Macaca fascicularis: one gene and its partner. The protein of the gene in region 1 interacts with the protein of each later gene in a pairwise test. Links are inferred from orthologs where the notes say so. Each region holds a gene or a part of one and is shown on either strand. Other genes may lie near its edges. The genes, in order: NFKBID and SS18.

What was found.
Region 2: the proteins of NFKBID (region 1) and SS18 interact in a two-hybrid assay, tested with the Homo sapiens proteins (2 studies listed by BioGRID and IntAct). The two-hybrid records come from large-scale screens. The link is inferred for Macaca fascicularis from reciprocal best matches to the Homo sapiens genes NFKBID and SS18.

Annotation. Positions count from the first base shown.
Region 1 is NC_088393.1:43,133,317-43,137,907, reverse strand, and holds the start of NFKBID (NF-kappa-B inhibitor delta), read left to right. Parts: upstream 1-1,549; 5' UTR 1,550-1,614; coding exon 1,615-1,714; intron 1,715-2,180; coding exon of another isoform or gene 2,181-2,188; exon of another isoform or gene 2,189-2,304; intron 2,305-3,246; exon of another isoform or gene 3,247-3,945; intron 3,946-4,042; exon of another isoform or gene 4,043-4,144; intron 4,145-4,591. Other genes in the region: HCST (hematopoietic cell signal transducer), read right to left, coding at 9-140, 534-557, 1,273-1,376, 2,181-2,188. UniProt on the Homo sapiens protein: Regulates the expression of IL-2, IL-6, and other cytokines through regulation on NF-kappa-B activity. Functions in the regulation of inflammatory responses.
Region 2 is NC_088392.1:63,745,190-63,748,998, reverse strand, and holds part of SS18 (protein SSXT), read right to left. Parts: intron 3,411-3,809; coding exon 3,277-3,410; intron 1-3,276. UniProt on the Homo sapiens protein: Appears to function synergistically with RBM14 as a transcriptional coactivator. Isoform 1 and isoform 2 function in nuclear receptor coactivation. Isoform 1 and isoform 2 function in general transcriptional coactivation.

The DNA of each region.
Region 1 (4,591 bases):
GCCCTTACCTTGGGCGGGGCTGCGGCGTGGGCGTGCGCACAGGAACACCGCCCCCACGATGAGCAGCGACGCCACCGCATCCGCTGCCACGAGGCCTGCCAGGAGCGGCAGAGAGAGGGACCCACATCCGGAACAGGAGCCTGGAGAGCGGGGGCCGGAACAGGGAGACAGTCAGGCTCTGCGTCCTGGGGCTATGCTTTGGTCACAGGGAGACAGGAAGTCCCCTGTGAGGGGTGGGTCCCAGGTTCCCTAGGGTTGCGCTTGGGGAATGAAACAGGAGATAGAGATGCGGAGAGGCTGGGTGTCCCAGGACCCTCGGGGCTGTGCAGCGGGCACACGGGGGACTCCTGAACAGAGGCTGGGGGTCGCCGATTCTGGGACTTGGAGAAGGACACGGATTGTCTGATTTGGGGACGGGAGGTGGGATGGTGACCTGGAGAGCAACTGGGGTGTTCTGGGAGCCTCTGGCCAAGCTTCTGGGATGGAAGTGACACCTGAAGTGCCAGGGTAAAAAGCAAGGAGTGATCTCTCACCTGGGGTCGTCTGAGCTGCAGCCACTGTGGAAAGAGAAAGAAGGTAGATGAGGATGGAGAGAAGGTCCACAGAACAGAATGCTCAGTCCGTCGCGGTGGCTTATGCCTGTCATCCTAGCACTTTGGGAGGCGGAGGCAGAAAGATCACTTGAGCCCAGGAGTTCGAGACCAGCCTAGACAACATAGTGAGACCCCCATCTCTGCAAGAAATACAAAAATTAGCTGAAGGTGTTGGTTCGCACCTGTAATCCCAGTTACTCGGGAGGCTGAGGTGGGAGGATCACCTGAGCCCAGGAAGTCAAGACTGCAGTAAGCCATGATTGCGCCACTGCACTCCAGCTTGGACAACAGAGCAAGACCCCATCTCAAAACAAACAAACCAAAAAATATGGTGTACGGAAGGAAAGGTAGTGTCCTGAGAAGTAATCTCCATGTTGGAGAGATGGAACAGGGCCACATGGGAAGGGGACTCCCAGAGACATGGAGAGTGACAAGAAATTGGAATTGGCAGCAGAGACCCAGCCACGAGAAGGGGATGCTAACAGGCAGCCCCTCCAGAACTCCCTGCCTCACCTCCTTCCGCCCCCAAGGACCCAGGCTCTGAAGCCAAATGGATCTCCCAGAAGGGAAGGGGTGCAGGGAAAAGAACCCCACTTTCAGCACCCGTCCCTACAGACGTCACCCAAGCACCCATTTCACAAACACTCTGCCTACCATCCCCTGTAACCACTGGCTTCACCTGGGAGCAAAAGCAGGAAGAGGATGTGACCCAGATGGATCATGGTGGGCTGGGGTCTGGCAGGGGTCTGGTAGAGGACTGTGGTCCAGAGAAGTCCTGAGGAACTGTGGGGGAGCAGAGAAGTAGCAATAGCGGATGTCACCCTGCTGGTGTCAAGGCCATCTGCTTCCTGTGTCTGTTGAGGGGGTGTCTCCGTTATTGCCTTTGGTGAACTGACTCAGGGGGAGGGTCAGAGAGACCAGGGAGGCTGCTGGCCTGGCCAAGTGGGAATGACAGGTGGCCAGCGGTGCAGGCTAGGGAGATCTGGAAATATTTTGGAGGTACGGCCAACAAAATTTGCTGATGAAATGGATGTGGGTGTGTTTGAGAGGGATCCTAGACAGCCAAGCCTTCTGGAGTGAAAAGCTGAGAAGATGGGAGTGTCTGCTGGCAGAGATGAAAGGTGGGGAAGTGGGTTTGCGGGGAAAGTGACGAGGTTTGGGCACACGGAGTTGGAAATGCCTGATAATCTCCCTGTGGAGATGCTGAATGACCTCACTGCATTTAGGAGTTCAGGGGATAAGGCTGGTCTGGAGATGTAAATTTGGGGGTTGATGGCTTATGGATGCTACTTAAAGCCACAAGACTGGGTGAGATCACCAAGGAAGTGAGTGCAGACAGGATTCTGCCTCCATCCCAACACACACTGAATGGGGGAAGAGGAGGAACTCTGCCAGGGAAATGGAGAAAGAGGGAGTAAGGGAGGGGACACCGGAGAGCTTGGCATCTTGAAAGCAGGGGAGAGACCACCGTGGTGGCTCATGCCTGTAATCCCAGCACTTTGGCAGGCCAAGGCAGGAGGATCACCTGAGGTCAGGAGTTCAAGCCAACATGGTGAAACCCCATCTCTACAAAAATACAAAAATTACCCAGGCATGGTGTCAGGCTCCTGTAATCCCAGCTACTTGGGAGACTGAAGCAGGTGGAGGTTGCACTGAGCTGAGATCTCGCCACTTTGCCACTGCACTCCAGCCTAGGTGACAGAGTGAGGCCCTGTCTCCAAAACAAGAAAGAAAAAGAAAAAGAATAAGAAAAGAAAAGCAAGCAAGCAAACAAGCAGGGGAGAAATAGGGCCAACGTGGTCAGTGCTGTGAAAGGTCACCAAGTGAAACTGACAGTGGCCTCCCACTGGAATGTCAGCTCCAGGGCTGGGAATTCCTGTCTACTTAGTTCACAGTACCCAGCAAAATGCCTCCTCTGCTGCAATGAATTATTTTAAATGATGGATGAGTAAATGAAACCAGACCTCTGAAAAGGGTGATGTAGGGGAGAGGAAGAAATTGAGCCACACCCTATACCCTTACCCACAGGCCCTTTCTCTGGGAGTCTAGACCCCCAGTCCTCCCCTCCCTCTGGACCCAGTAATATTCTCCCTGCCCCCACCCCTATCTCCATTCCCACTCCTACCCCTACCTCCATGGGCAGGACCCAGGAGACAAAGCCTCCAGCACCCCCTTGGACAGACTCAGAAATCCAGGCCCCAACCAGGCACCACGGCTCAAGCCTGTAATCCCAGCACTTTGGGAGGTCAAGGCAGGTGGGTCACCTGAGGTCAGGAGTTCGAGACCAGCCTGGCCAAATGGTGAAACCCCGTCTGTCCTAAAAATACAAAAATTAGTCAGGCGTGGTGTCCGGCGCCTGTAGTGTCAGCTACTCGGGAGGCTGAGGCGAGAGAATCACTAGAAAAGAAATCCAGGCCCCCCAGTATCCCCCTCCTCTTGGAGCCCAGTACCCTAGGCTCCTTCAGACCAAAGATCTGGACCCCAGCTCCCTCCTTCCCCAGGGACCTAGTAGTCCGCCTCCCAAGTCCACCCTGCCCATTCAGGGACTGCGTTCGCCGGAGCGCGACCCGGGGACTCCCAGGCTTGTGGGCGGGCCCTGCCCAGGACTGGGCGGTGCCAGAACCCCTAGTTTAAAAACTCGCGGGTACCGGACCTAAGATCGGGGACCCGGCGGCGGCTCCGCGGGGGAAACAGCGAGGCTGGCGCAGCGCCGAGGCCGCGGCCCTGGGGGCCCGCAATCCACGCCAAGGAATCCCCGAGGTAACGGGTGCGGGTAGGGCACGCTCGGCCCGCTAAGAGAGTGAGGGACTGAGGATCGAAAGACTCCCGAGGCCCTGAGGGACGGAGCTGGAGCGTCAGTCCTGTGTCCCGAGAGTGAGGGTCCTAGGTGTTTGGAGGAGGAGGGGATCGTGGATCGTGACGGAGGGGCGGCTGGGATCTCGGACTTCTGGGTCCTGGGGGTGCAGGGGTCTGCGGACCTAGGATCGCGGTGCCCCGAGGGTGAAAGGGCTGGGAGGTTGGACCCCTGGGTCCTTGGAGGTGCTAAGGGTTGCTGGCAGCCGAGACTCCTAACCCTAGAAGGAGGGACTGGGCTGAGCGCTGGGGGGCGTGGTTGCTTAAAATCGGCGCGGGTCTCAGTGGGGAAGGGTCCGGAGCCTGGCCTCAGGGGTCTACGCTGGCGGTGACCCTGCCTCTGCCCCGCCCTGGGATTTCCGGATCGCCACCCGTGCGGGGCTGAGCAGGAATTCCCCTTGCGCGGGGATTCCACGAGCGCCACGCTCGGCCGCGCACCTCGCCTCGGAGCAGGACACCTGGGGCACAGGCCTAGGGGGAAGGGGAGGATGGAAGATTCCCTTGCGTGAGCGCCGTGGCGTCATTGCGCCGCGTCCGGGCGGTTTCCGAGCCGCCTCCTCCCGCCCCCGCCCCCAGCAATCCCCGCTTAACCCTTCCTCCGCCGGAACCCAGGCTCAAGGGTGAGGGTTGTCTTTCTGGGTCGTGAGAAGGAGTTTGGCAACCGGGGCTCCCAGGTCCTCGAGAGGAACGAACTGAGGGTACAGACTCCTGGGGCCTGAAAGCGAGACTGTATGGATGGGACTTTTTTTTTTTTTAATGGAGTCTCTCTCTGTCGCCCAGGCTGGAGTGCAGTGGCGCGATCTCTGCTCACTGCAACCTCAACCTCCGCCTCCTGGGTTCAAGTGATTCCCCTGCCTCAGCCTCCCAAGTAGCTGCAATTACAGGCGCCCGCCACCACGCCCGGCCAGTTTTTATATTTTTAGTAGAGACGGGGTTTCGCCATGTTGGTCAGGATGGTCTCGAACTCCTGACCTCAGGTGATCCAACCGCCTTGGCCTCCCAAAGTGTTGGGATTACAGGCGTGAGCCACCGCTCCCGGCCCAGGGTGATGCCTTTGACTTCTCGAGGAGGAGCGCTGGGGACTCCTGATTTCCGAGTCAGGTTCTAGGGCAAAAAAATGTTGGGAACCTGGATGTGCGTCTAGG
Region 2 (3,809 bases), on another chromosome or scaffold:
GTCACAAAAGATCTGTATACTTTTATTACATGTAGTTTAATGGTATGTAAATTATATTTCAATTAAGCTGTTCAAAAAACTATGAAAAGGGTGGGGAAAAAGAGTGATGCAATGGAGGGTGCTACTGTGTTAGGTGGTCAGTGAAGGACTCTCTGAGATGATATGGTGACATTTAAGCAGAGATTTTAATAAAGTGAGGTTGGAGGCACTGCAGGCATTCAGGCAGAAGAGGGGGTAGCAAATACAAAGGTTCTCAGGTAGAAACTCACTTGATGCATATAAGAAACAGCAAATAGGCCAGTGTGACTGAAGCAGAGTGAATTAGGGCAGCAAGTAGTTGGGACATAAATAGGCAGGCACGAGGAGGGTAGCATAGGAGGTAGGAACACAAGTCCTATACGGCCTTGTAGGCCAGTATATCATATGGCTTTTACTTAAAACATCACAGGGTTGTAAGCACAGAGTTGACTAATGTCTTTAAAACATTACTCTGGGCTCCATGTGCAGAGTATCTTGTAGAGGAGGCAGGATAAAATCAAGAAAACCAAAAAGAAGGATATATTGCAACAGTCCAGATGAGTGCTAGTTGTGACTTTCAGTTGGGTGAAAGGAGACTGTGAAAAATGGCTAGATATTGGATATATTTTGAAGGAAGAGGTGAGGAGATTTGCTAATTGACTAGATGTTTGCTTTGCAAAGAGGGGCATCAAAGAGGACTGTAGGTTTTTAACCTGAGGAACAGGAAGAATGGAGCCACTGTTTATTGGGATAGGGAGGACCGATGGGGAAGTATCGTAGCAATTTCCACCCTTTTAATTTCTCCCCTTTTATCTTGCATATTGCTATAAGAGTAATCTGCCTAAACTACAATTATAATTATGTTAGTATTGGGTTTCAGAATCTTCATTAGCTTCATTGGCTCTTCCTTGGTACTTCACACTTAAATATAATATTTCCCAAGGAATATTTCTCAAGATCTGAGTTAGAAGCTCCTTCCACATAAATCTTAGCTTCTCTTATCTAAGTATTTATCACACTATATCATATCATATGTTTACCTGCCTGTAGCCATCTAGACTTAAGTTCATAAAGGCTGAGTCCATGTCTATCTTATTTCCCAATATGTTCCCAATCTTCACATGGCACTTGGCATACAATGGTTGCTCAATAAACATTTGCTTAATGAACGGCTTTAAGTTTAGGAGATTTGGAAATACATTGACTTAGAAAGGAAAATGGTGAGTTTAGTCTACAACATGCTAAAGCTGAGGGAATCCAAAGACAAGAGATGTTCTGTACATTTGGATAAAAAGGAGCTGAAACTGGGTTGAGAGGTAAGAGCTAATACTGAAAATAGAGGGCAGGATGATTCAGAGGCTAGAAAAAAAAAACAGAGTCAAGAACTGGTATTAGGGTAAAAAAAAAAAAAAAAGGAAAACCAATAAAAAAAAAAAAGAATGAACCAATGTAAACGCAAGAGGAACAAAATGGTTCAGAAATATAGAAGCTAAAGAAGACCATTTAAAAATGAAAAAGGAAAATGTGCCAATAGCTAAAGTGAGGTCAAGGAAGACCAAGATAGCTGACTATTTTACCTCTGCAGGACCTACTACAGTATCAAACACGTGGAGAATAAATTTTTGTTGAATGACGGAATACATGATCAGAATCTCACTTTTTAAAAAGTTCAGCTGTAGATTAGAATAAGCCTAAATTTGTTCTGCTCAGGAATCCTGCCTTTAAATACTCACTAGCCACAACTTATTTCACTTCTAAAACTTAATAAAACCTCCAACTGATCCTTATGTTTTGTTCGAGTATATTTTGGAAAAATATTACTTATCTATTCTTGCTTTTTGTATCTCCCTTGTCTTAAATAAGAAGTGCCAATACAAGAGGGTTGCAGGCGTGAGAGAGGGTTGATAAACGAACTGCTCACGCCTCAAATTCTAGTTACCACTGCATCTGAGTTTTTCCTCAAACCAGATACCCACGTTGGCCCTGAAAGCCTAAACTGCATATTAAAGACAGTTCCATGTTAAAAAATAACCTATTTTAGATAGTTTAAGTGGTGAACAAACCAGACCACCTTCACTGAAAAGCACAAACCTGAAACCAGCCTAAAGGAATTGCCATAATAAATCATTTCCATAATAATTCAGAGAATATATAAGTACATTCATAAAACAATGACTGTGGTACAAGTCTGAGGAGTTTAATGACAAAAAGAAGAAACTTAAATGAACACTGGGTTCAAGGGAATCAGTCATCATAGGATGAGATACACTTCTAAATATCTGAAAGTAGAATGACAAGTAGAGGAGAAATAACAGTTGAAACAATAGTTATGTGTGTGGAAGGAGGCAACAGAGGGCGGAAAGTTTGAATTTAAAGAGATGGGATATTACGGGTGTGAAGGAAGTGTAGTGGATATGCTGGAGTGAAGTGGAGTGCTAATGAAAGCATCAACACAGATGGACTCCACATCTCAGTAGCTCAAGGCAAAGTCTCAGCAATAAACATCAGGGAGGATCATAGAAATCACTAAGGTTACCAGAGGTTGGGAAGAAAAGGGATGAGAAGGGATCAAGGAGTGGGAAATAAATGAATTAACACTGAACTGTATGTACACTCAAAAATGGTAAATATGATAAACTCTGTATATATATTTTACCTCAGTAAACAAAGTATGCCTGAGGGTAAAGACCAGAGAGACAGAGAGAGAGAGAGAAGATATATGTAGTTGTCTTATGTTACGGCCATGTTTTATATGACAGAGTAACTATGATCAACTGTGTTATTAAATAGTATGAGACTCAAAAGTGACATACTTTTTAACAAATGTACCATAAACATTCCCTCATGAGGGAAACATGAGGCTTCAAGTTAAATTTAAAAAAAAAAACTTGGCCGGGCACGGTGGCTCACGTCTGTAATCCCAGCACTTTGGGAGGCTGAGGCGGGCGGATCATGAGGTCAGGAGCTCGAGACCATCCTGGCTAACATGGTGAAACCCCGTCTCTACTGAAAAGACAAAAAATTAGCCAGGCTTGGTGGTGTGCGCCTGTAGTCCCAGCTACTCGGAAGGCTGAGGCAGGAGAATGGCGTGAACCCGGGAGGCGGAGCTTGCAGTGAGCCGAGATTGTGCCACTGCACTCCAGCCTGGGCGACAGAGCGAGACTCTGTCTCAAAAAAAAAAAAAAAAAAAAAAAAAAGTTCACCTAATCAAGAGTGAACAAACAATGTGGCAATTCTGTAGCCGTTCAAACTACTTACCTGGTCGTATCCATAAGGCCTCTGCTGGGGTGGCTGTGGTGGTCCAGGCTGTGTTGGTCTATATCCTCCATACTGCTGACCTTGTCCCTGTGGGTAGTTAGGATACTGAGGACCTGGACCACCCTGTGAAGGACCTGCAAATAATTAACACAACAAAAACCCACATAACAAGTTAAGTCCCTGGAACTCAGGGAAGGATTTGAACTGGAGAGATGTTACAATATTTTTCTATCTAAACTTAAAAAAGATAGTTTGGTACCTTGATTTCCTCAAATGCTTTCTGAAATAAATCTGGATGGTAACAATAAGAGTAAAAATACTGTAATGCTACTTCACTGTAATTATTGTACTATGCCCTAGCCATTACAAAATATATTTCAAAATGGGTAAAAAAAACTCAGGGAGTTGTAAAGCAGGTTAATTCTATGATGATAAGAAAATTAATCAATATATCTGGTAGCATTAACCAGTATGAGCAAGAGGAAAAAGAGAAAGCAAGAGGCAGATTCAAAGAAAAATACTGAAATAACTTC